Saccharomyces cerevisiae S288C: one gene and its partner. Changing the gene in region 1 together with any one later gene gives a genetic interaction. Each region holds a gene or a part of one and is shown on either strand. Other genes may lie near its edges.

Region 1 (5,932 bases):
AATCTGGCTACCGACAACCCTGAGGCGATCATAATACTAATCAAGATCTTTTTGGTGTGTGATCAAGAATTAGACGCAATAAAGCTCACATACGATATGCTTTCGCAGGATAAAATAATAAACAACACTAATAACCGCATGGATTATAAATCTGAATTACTGTGCTTACAAGCGCAATTTTTGATAGACAAAAGGCAGGATTACAGCTTGGCGCAAAACATAGCGCAAGAGGCAGTCAATTGTTCTCCCAGTGAATTTAGACCTTGGTATCTTTTATCCAAGGTGTATGTAAAGCTAAATGATATTGAAAATGCCTTACTGATACTGAATTCATGCCCTATGTCTCCATTAAAGGAAAAATACGTACTGAAAAGAGTAGCTCCGTTGCCTTCGAATAATAGTCTTCATTTGCCATTGCCAATTGACGTTGTACTGGATGAAGTGACGTCGTTGAATCCACAAGACGTTCAGAATGAACACCGCTCTGCGGATCCAATGCTGGTCAATTTAGCTGCGTCGAACTTGAAATCTACTTTCCAATTGGCATACCGATTATTGACAGAAATTGTGCAGATCACCGGCTGGGAAAATCTGTTAAAGTACAGATCAAACATTTTCGTTATGGAAGAAGAGTACCAAAAATCATCATCTTCGTTACCAAAGGACGTTAACAAACAAGAAGAACAGCCTCTGAGGGCTAAACGGCTGTGTGAACGATGGTTAGACAACCTCTTCATGCTTTTATATGAAGACCTGAAGATGTATACATTATGGCAAACCGAACAACTGTACATGGATGCACAGAATAACAACCACAATAAGTTGACTTTCGAATGGGAGTTATTTGGCCTTTGTGCACGTCGACTGGGCCATTTCCCTGAGGCCGCCAAGGCCTTCCAGAACGGTTTATCGCAGAGATTTTCATCAAGGTGCGCGAGGAAACTGCTGGAATATTGTATAAACGAACGCCAACGGGTCAAAAATTTTATAAACTCACCTAATTCGCATGACATGGTCCCTGAAATAGTAAGCTCACGCATAAGAGAGCTAGACAATAGCATTATCGACCTTTGCGTGAAGATATGCTGCTGGAACCACCGTTGGTATACGGAATTTTCCATAAGTTTACTTGATTGTTTAAGTGTGGTTATTCAAGATATGAGTCTGACCAAAGTTTCGAATGAAATCTCGTCAAGATATCCAGAAACTGTTCTCAACTTGGTGCAGGAGAATTTGCTCAATTTCTTCACTACTTGCACCATTGGATGCTACGATGCATAAATACGATAAAAAGACATTAATACGTATATATAATCCAAAAAAAATTGGCGATACGCTTCAACGTTGTGTCAAACTCTTGGGTCACTTTAAAGAAAACCCAGCATACATTAATACAGAGCAATGCTGGTTATGTAACTTCGCCGCCCGCCGCCATTCGAGGAAAAATATTCGTGTTTCGAGAATGCGGGCAAAACGAAAATATCAATAAAACACATACGGGAAATTCATTGTGCACAACGACCTCTAACAATTTCTGCCAAAAAGAAAGTTCAAGAGCGTCCCATTCATCATGAAGGAAGAGCTCAGCAAAGTGAGCAGTATGCAAAATTTCGAGATGATCCAGCGTGAACGATTGCCAACATTGTATGAAGTGTTAATACAGAGGACATCGCAGCCAGTTGATCTCTGGACTTTTTATACATTTCTTTCACAATTCCCATATGCCATCAACTATCTGGACTTTTGGGTTGACCTTATGACACATACACGACTTTGCAAAAACTACATAGAGTTGGTAAGAAAATCATTAATCAACTTTCCACAAGAACAACAGCAGAATGGAAGTACATCTACGGCTACATTTGACTTGCTGAACGCACTGATAGAAGAAGGGCACCTAGACCCGGAAGCACCTGATAAACTCTTAGAAAATAGCGGCCCAGACGTGCCCTTTTCACCAAAATTAAACGAATTGCTGGGTGATTGGAAGCACCAATCGGGTATCGGTCAAGAAGCCCTGAGAAACGAAGACGTAGCGCTGATCGTCGACGAGATAATGAAAAGGCGCTCCCAACAAGACGGAAAACCGCAGATAACTACAAAACAACTGCTGCACAGCGCAGTTGGTCTCTGCAACACCTATTTAGTATCGCCCGAACAAAGCGAACGGTACCTGAGCAACATCCCCATGGAAACGCGGAACCGCATAATAGAAAGCGTACAAATCGAGCGAAAGTACGACATTGAGATTTTTGACGACCTAAAAAACCTAACTTACCAATTCCTAGAAATGGATTGTTTCCCAAAATTTCTAAGCCGCGTCGCACTACACAACATCCACGATGAAATATCTGATTGGAGATTCCACTCAGTGGGCGTCACCAACGAAAAAAGCAATCGCTCTCGAGGCCAGACGCACATTTCTCGCTCGCCATTCTCCAATCACACGTCAATCAGTCGTATTGGCTTTGGTTTGCTCTGGCTAGGCATCGGCTTTTGGATCGGATATGTTCTAATCTTCCTGGCGTATAGTCGCGCAATCCGTGTCGTTACGGTCGTGCCATTTACACTGGGATGCTACTGCATTGTGTGTGGCATGTATCAAGTGGACATTGTGTATTCCTGGTTTGGCGTCACACAGAGACTTCTCCACAGACACAAAAACGCTGGCAATGACGAAGGAGATGCTTCTAGTGATACCGATCACGTGCCAATGATACTTGCGGTGTTCGGCGGTAGGCGCCGTCTTACCCGCATAGAGCACCCATTTACTCGGCAGCTTCTACGTAAGCGTGGACTGTGGTGTCTGCTTCTCGTAGTGGGTGCCACTGCCGCATTCACAGTTATTTTCAGCTGTGTTCCCGGCCGTCGTGTATGATGTAATCCATCACCCCCCTATAAAAACACCTGTGCACCGCATATTTCCATAGCGCGTGACGCTAAGTACAAGAAACAGCGAGGGGCCGTTAAGTGCAGGCTTTACCGAGGGCGCCGGCTGGCGCTTCCCGTGGAAGGGTGTTTGACTCATCATCGCATCGCATTACCTCATGATGAGTAAATAGTTGCGATTTCACTTATCACCTCTCGCGGAAAAAAAAGGCGATGACATGATATATAAGGCTCTCTCGTAAGACACTTAACTATCCAACGTTCATTAGATTATTCGGTCAATTTCTTTTTTCATGCCCCTCCTTTTTCTTTTCTTTTCTTGACTCGTCGTTTCTTTTTCTTTTTTTTTTTTTTTTTTTTCTTCAGAACTATAACACATAGATACACTCGAACATCTAATTGTTTAAATACTGCAAAGAATACAAGGTAATCGACTCTTCTACATACCCTTTTTGCAGATTTGAAATAAAAAAAACATTATATGTTTAGCTTATCGAACTCTCAATACACCTGCCAAGACTACATATCTGACCACATCTGGAAAACTAGCTCCCACTAATTTCATTGCTTAATAATCAGAAATTCTATCACAAACCACTCCTAAAAATATTTCAAATGTCCTCCGCTGCAACAAAAGCTACTTTCTGTATCCAAAATGGTCCTTCCTTTGAAGGTATATCTTTTGGTGCAAACAAATCTGTTGCTGGTGAAACAGTTTTCACTACTTCTCTGGTTGGTTACCCAGAGTCCATGACTGATCCTTCCTACCGTGGTCAGATATTAGTCTTCACGCAACCCTTGATTGGTAACTACGGTGTCCCATCCGGCGAAGCCCGCGATGAATACAATTTACTGAAGTATTTTGAATCTCCGCATATACATGTGGTCGGCATCGTTGTCGCTGAATATGCTTATCAATATTCGCATTGGACCGCTGTTGAATCTCTGGCACAATGGTGTCAGAGAGAAGGTGTTGCTGCTATTACTGGCGTAGACACCCGTGAACTAGTGCAATACTTGAGGGAACAAGGTTCTTCTTTGGGCCGTATTACGTTGGCTGATCATGACCCTGTCCCCTACGTGAATCCCATGAAAACTAACTTGGTTGCTCAAGTCACCACAAAAAAGCCTTTCCACGTCTCTGCCTTACCTGGGAAGGCTAAGGCAAATGTGGCTCTTATTGACTGTGGTGTTAAAGAAAACATTATCAGATGCCTAGTCAAAAGAGGTGCCAATGTAACTGTTTTCCCCTATGATTACAGAATTCAAGATGTTGCTTCTGAATTCGACGGTATTTTCTTATCCAATGGACCAGGCAACCCAGAACTATGCCAAGCTACAATTTCCAACGTCAGGGAATTACTAAATAACCCTGTTTATGACTGTATCCCTATTTTTGGGATTTGTCTAGGCCATCAACTCTTGGCTCTGGCCTCCGGTGCCTCTACTCACAAATTGAAATATGGTAATAGGGCTCACAACATCCCTGCCATGGATTTGACTACCGGCCAGTGCCACATTACATCTCAAAATCATGGCTATGCAGTTGATCCTGAGACCCTACCAAAGGACCAATGGAAACCTTATTTTGTTAATTTAAACGACAAATCAAACGAAGGCATGATACACCTTCAAAGACCCATATTTTCTACCCAATTTCACCCAGAGGCAAAAGGTGGTCCCTTAGACACAGCTATTCTTTTTGACAAATTCTTCGATAATATAGAAAAATACCAATTACAATCTCAGGCAAAAAGTTCAATCTCACTAAAAGTAACATACAGTACCGATAAATCGAGATTGCAGAGTATAAATGTTACTAAGTTGGCCAAGGAAAGAGTGTTGTTCTAAAAACAAAATTTATACATTACGTAACACATACGTACATCTAAATACGATTCAATTCAGTTCATGGTATTTTGCGCTACTCGTCGTTGCTTAGTATCTACTCGCAGTTGTCATAATTAACGGGCGCTTCTTGTAATTAAATGAACAAAAAAACGTAACGTACGTACAATGGCTCTAATTTCATCCTGCCATCCTAAAAAAAAAATCAAATAAAGCAGACTCAAAAATTTTCAGCTTCAGTTAAATTTTGATAAGTATATTTGCATAACTCAAGGAGTTTGTGCAAACGGTTTTCTTTCTTTGTGGTTTGTTTTATTTACTTTCCAATAATACCCGTCTTGTTGGTTTAAGTCGTAACAAAAGGAAAACTTACAATCAGATCATGACGACCCAGCAAGAGGAGCAACGAAGTGATACCAAGAATAGCAAAAGCGAGTCACCTTCAGAAGTTTTAGTCGATACTCTCGACTCAAAGTCAAATGGCAGTAGTGATGATGATAATATCGGACAAAGTGAAGAGCTATCAGATAAAGAAATATATACAGTAGAAGATAGACCACCAGAATATTGGGCTCAAAGAAAGAAAAAATTCGTACTTGATGTAGATCCAAAATACGCCAAGCAAAAGGACAAGTCCGATACGTACAAAAGATTCAAATATTTATTAGGCGTCACAGACCTTTTCCGTCATTTTATTGGAATTAAGGCAAAACATGATAAAAATATTCAAAAACTCTTAAAACAGTTAGATTCTGATGCAAACAAACTTTCCAAATCACACAGCACCGTCAGTTCGTCATCACGTCACCATAGAAAAACAGAAAAGGAGGAAGATGCTGAATTAATGGCTGATGAGGAAGAAGAGATTGTAGATACATATCAGGAAGACATATTCGTCTCAGAATCTCCCTCCTTCGTCAAGTCAGGAAAATTAAGAGACTATCAAGTTCAAGGCTTAAACTGGTTAATATCGTTGCACGAAAACAAACTATCTGGTATCTTGGCCGATGAAATGGGGCTGGGTAAAACCTTACAAACAATTTCATTCCTAGGTTATTTGAGATACGTCAAACAAATCGAGGGACCCTTTCTAATAATAGTACCGAAGTCAACACTAGATAATTGGAGACGAGAGTTTCTTAAATGGACTCCAAACGTCAATGTCCTTGTGTTACATGGTGATAAAGACACAAGA
Region 2 (4,694 bases), on another chromosome or scaffold:
ATCTATCCATAACGATACTGAGTCTGCTAACGATAGTAGCAATGGCAACGGAAACCTCGGTTTGGGTACAGAGTCACGCAATACATTGTTAACGGCAACTCCCATTGAATTAATCTGCCGGGAAGGCTTCTTCTACCGGAGAGATATTCCGGACGTTCCCATTACCACAGGAGCGTACCTGGAATTTAAATTCAAGGCGAAAGAAGAGGAATTGATCAACTCTAGCATCAATGAGGAGGATTATGCTGCTAAATCAAAGCATGAAAAAATGAATGCGCATTTCTTCAAGCCTGATATTCAAGAAGAGACGGAACTTGCCTTTGAAATTTTGAGCAAGACAACGCTGACAGAGAAATACGTTAACAGTTTGGAGTACTTCTTGATGGAATTCAGGTGGGAGAATAAACTAGTTGGTCTAGGCTTAAAACTTCGGGAATCCAAAAGAACCTGGCAAAGGAGAAAGGCGTTATTTGCCCTTTTCGAATTTTGGAGAGACCAATCAAGAGACAAAAGAAGATTCCACAACTACACCATCCTGCATGCGGTGAAAGAGATGGAAAACTACAGAATATTTATTAATCGATCCGTTTCATGGTTCTACAACCATATTACCCTGCTAAAAATGATCCTCTACGACCTCTGCGACAATGTGACCACTCAATGGAGAGAGTGGATGTTTCCCCATAACGAAACACTGCCGGCATTGGGTCAGGACGGCATTAACGAAGACAATCTGAATGAAACCATCGACAACATGTTAATTTTTGACTTCCTTGATGACGGTTCAGAAAACAACCAGGTCAAATATTCCAGAATCATACCGCCAGATATCCGTTAAGCTGGTCCGTACGTTGGGGCAGTTTCGAGAATAGATAAAAAAATGAAAAATAAAAAAAAATAAAAAAAACACAAAATAATGGACCGTTACTATGCCCAACCAAGTAACCTCCCAACTTATTTGGAACATTACATATTTAGCGCTTAACATTACATACATATTTAGCGCTTAACATTACATACACCTTTATCGACGAATTTGTAACTATTTCTTACTCTTGCGCTGAGGAACGCCCCAGTCGTACAAAAGCACCTCTGCATACTAAGAAACTTAAACTATCGCCATTGTCTCAAAATAGCAAAAAACGCAAAAAGCATACCGCTGGGCGCTTATCTATATTAACCTACACGAGAAAAGAAACATGATTGACTGCGTCAGATTCAAAAACCTGCAAAGTTTGTTTTTATAATTTTGGCGTTCAGCAAGCGCGCGGCTCCGCTCCATTAATATTCCAGAAAAAGAAATTCCTTCTTTGGGTGTTGTGTATTGCTACTTTGGGCAGGCGCGACCGGGCCAAAAGAATGCGGCACCCGGCAAAGACGCGTTCTGGCCCCTGAAGACTTAAGCACTGGAATGGCTCCGAGGATTGGTCACCCAGAAACAGGTGCAGACCAACCATTTCGAGATCTAGATGTTGCCTATTTCTCGAGGAAACGCTGCCGTTATCGCCATGTTTGGTGGAACAATTGTGAAACGTGATCAATTCGTGTTTGCAAGCTAGTGATCATTCGCATCCGAAAAAGAAACTGAAAATGTAAAACTCCAGTAAAACGAGACCTGTTGATGGATTGTTTCGTGTCTGGTATATATTATTGCTACTGCTCAAGAGAGCTTCTTTTTTTATGCTATCGAACTCGATCTTTCGCTCCGAAACACCTAACACTAACAAAAGGAATACCTGACAGAATACGCTATCAAAAGAACGAATATGACTAGTGCAAGTATTACCAATACTGGAAACGAAACCATGAACCTTCCACAGATGCGGTCGATTTGGCTGGATGAAGATGAAGAAGCTGAAAAACTCTACGGTCTGCAGGCCCAGCAATTCATGGGATCTGATGATGAAGAAAACCTAGGCATTACTTTCATCAACAGCGATAAACCTGTGCTGAGTAACAAGAAAAACATTGAGTTGCCTCCACTTTCACCAAATTCACATCCGTCTTGCCACCACAGGAGAAGTAATTCTAACTCTGCAAAGTCTAAAGAATCATCGTCATCATCGTCCAGCGCCAACAAGACAAATCACAAAAAGGTTTTCCTTAAGCTTAATTTGTTGAAGAAAAAGTTGCTTGGTGCCCAACCGGACATAAGAGGTAAAGGTATCTCCACACCATTTGATTTTCAACATATTTCACATGCTGACACTAGAAATGGATTCCAAGATGAGCAATTGCAGGAACCTTCATCGCTGTCCACAGAGATTAAGGACGACTATACCTCCTCCTCAAGCAAGCGGGATTCGAAATCACTAAATAAAGCTTTTGTCACTGAAAGGATCCCTGCTAATCGTGAAAGCAAACTCATTTCAAGATCGCACGAAAATAAGACATCAAGACTATCAGTCGCGCGTTCGATCTCAGTAACGTCCTCCAATTACTCTAAAAACACACAAGGAAACAATCATTCCATTAATGGGAGAGTCGTATCTACGTCAACTATGGCTACATCTATTTTTGAGTATTCCCCAAACGCATCTCCAAAACAATTTAAAAATAAGTCACACGCTCTGGGTCATAGATACACTAATTCCACGGATTCTAGTGAGTCTTCGCTGGATTTTTTGAAGAACTACAACTTCCCCACACTACTTGAAGATAAGCCTATTTTAGACTTCTTGCCTCGTTCTCAGAGGTCAAGCGCTTATCGTAGCCTTTTAGAGACCCCAAACTCAAATAAGGACTCAGCAAAAGCCTTCTTTCCTTCACGCCAAAGCCCTCTTCCCAAGAGAAGAAACTCTATAGCTACGCCTTCTCCACAATCTAAATTTTCCTACTCTGACTCCCCTGTAAACCATAGAAAATCTTTCGATGATGTTCTTTATTCTTTCAACCAGCTCGAGCCCCTGCAAACTTAAGCTAAGGACAGAAAATGAAAAAAAAAAAAAAAAAAAATTCAAAGAATCAGCTTATAAAACATATTCAAGGACCATCTGAAGTATCATTCATTCGTTTTTTACTCGTTAATCTCATTCATTCGTTTCCTCATTCTTTTTTCTTTGTTCTTTATTTCGGCTATTTTTTCACTATTAAAATAACTAGAGCTAACAATATTATTTCTTCTGCTTTAGTTACAAAACAAGGACATTCATTTAACTTGGCGTTATCCCATACATTCGTTTATTATATCTTCTTTTAAAACACAATTTCTTTTACAGTTAAACTTTTCTGATTTATTATATATTACTTAAGATTGTTCATATAACTAACATTTATATGCTTATATGCGTGAAGTGCGCTTTTGTAGAACATGTGGCTGTTTCTGTAGAAGCCTTGTCTTTCTCTGTAATCCTTTAAAGGCCAACCGTACGTGCTTAATTACAAGCTTTGTTCGCATTGCAAGAAAGTTAGAAAAAAAATCAATTCTGAAAGATAATTATAATTCAAACGGTAAACCATTGGTTAAAAGAGGGACATAACATTTCACTAGTTCAATACATTATATGCTCTTTAACAATGACAGATAGATTAACACAATTGCAGATATGTTTAGACCAAATGACGGAGCAATTCTGTGCTACTTTAAACTACATAGATAAGAACCATGGTTTTGAACGATTGACCGTAAATGAACCTCAGATGTCCGATAAGCATGCCACAGTAGTACCTCCTGAGGAATTTTCTAACACGATAGATGAGCTATCCACGGACATTATACTTAAAACAAGACAGATAAACAAGCTTATTGACTCGTTACCTGGTGTTGACGTTTCAGCTGAAGAGCAATTAAGGAAGATTGATATGTTGCAGAAAAAGCTAGTTGAAGTGGAAGACGAAAAAATTGAGGCCATCAAAAAGAAGGAGAAACTTTTAAGGCACGTTGATTCTTTAATTGAAGATTTTGTAGATGGCATTGCAAACTCAAAAAAGAGCACATAAACTTAAGTTTTACAAAGAAATTTGCGAACAGAGGACAGAAAATGTACTATAGTTATATGGCAGAGTTAAGCGTATGTATGTTATTCTTATAAATAATTGTGCTACTCTATTTGTACCGGAGAATTATTGAAGCAATGGGAGAAAAATCATAATGGAGAAAATCTTTCTACGAGTTACTTTGCAAGGCAATCTAACGATTCTAAAAGACACAATACACTAAAGAAAAAACTTTGGAAGTACAGTTTTTTCCCCAAGTTGAAGTGTGGACTCATTGTGAAGATGTAAAAATGTAAAAACCAACCGACAATGCACTCCCAGCCAAATTCATTGTAGACCTCCCATTTGATAGAAAAGGAAGGTTCAGCAGTTGTCCACGGATTCCAAGATATCATTCTCTTACATTGCACGCACATGAAAATGATCATCGAGAGTAAGGATCCATACCATGCAAAATTAAACCAAACTGGAGAGTCTGTGTCTAACGTAATTGGCCATTTTTCCACGGCGAACGCATCTTCAAAAGTGACCTTATTTTTACCGTATTTAATATAGTAATTGTACTTGTATTGTTTGAAAATATATTCTTTGAAAAGATAAAGAAATTGTGACCAAGATAAGGTATGATTGAATTCTGCTGAAGAACTTATTTTGCCGATATAATATTCTATCATTGGGACTTGGAAATCGACTGGTAGTTGTACTGAGTCTATTAGAAAAGTGGTTCTTGGTATTACTGGGTACTCCATACATAGGAC

Evidence for each region.
Region 2: mutations in RAX1 (region 1) and GIC2 are lethal when combined (synthetic lethality), as found in Saccharomyces cerevisiae (one study listed by BioGRID).

Annotation. Positions count from the first base shown.
Region 1 is NC_001147.6:879,395-885,326, forward strand, and holds RAX1 (Rax1p), read left to right. Parts: upstream 1-1,570; coding exon 1,571-2,878; downstream 2,879-5,932. Other genes in the region: BUD7 (exomer complex subunit), read left to right, coding at 1-1,281; YOR302W (uncharacterized protein), read left to right, coding at 3,371-3,448; carbamoyl-phosphate synthase (glutamine-hydrolyzing) CPA1, read left to right, coding at 3,505-4,740; ISW2 (DNA translocase), read left to right, coding at 5,120-5,932. UniProt on the Saccharomyces cerevisiae protein: Required for the establishment of the bipolar budding pattern. Involved in selecting bud sites at both the distal and proximal poles of daughter cells as well as near previously used division sites on mother cells.
Region 2 is NC_001136.10:1,077,272-1,081,965, reverse strand, and holds GIC2 (Gic2p), read left to right. Parts: upstream 1-1,766; coding exon 1,767-2,918; downstream 2,919-4,694. Other genes in the region: SUM1 (Sum1p), read left to right, coding at 1-838; SRB7 (Srb7p), read left to right, coding at 3,517-3,939; PMT7 (putative dolichyl-phosphate-mannose--protein mannosyltransferase), read right to left, coding at 4,113-4,694. UniProt on the Saccharomyces cerevisiae protein: Required for cell size and shape control, bud site selection, bud emergence, actin cytoskeletal organization, mitotic spindle orientation/positioning, and mating projection formation in response to mating pheromone.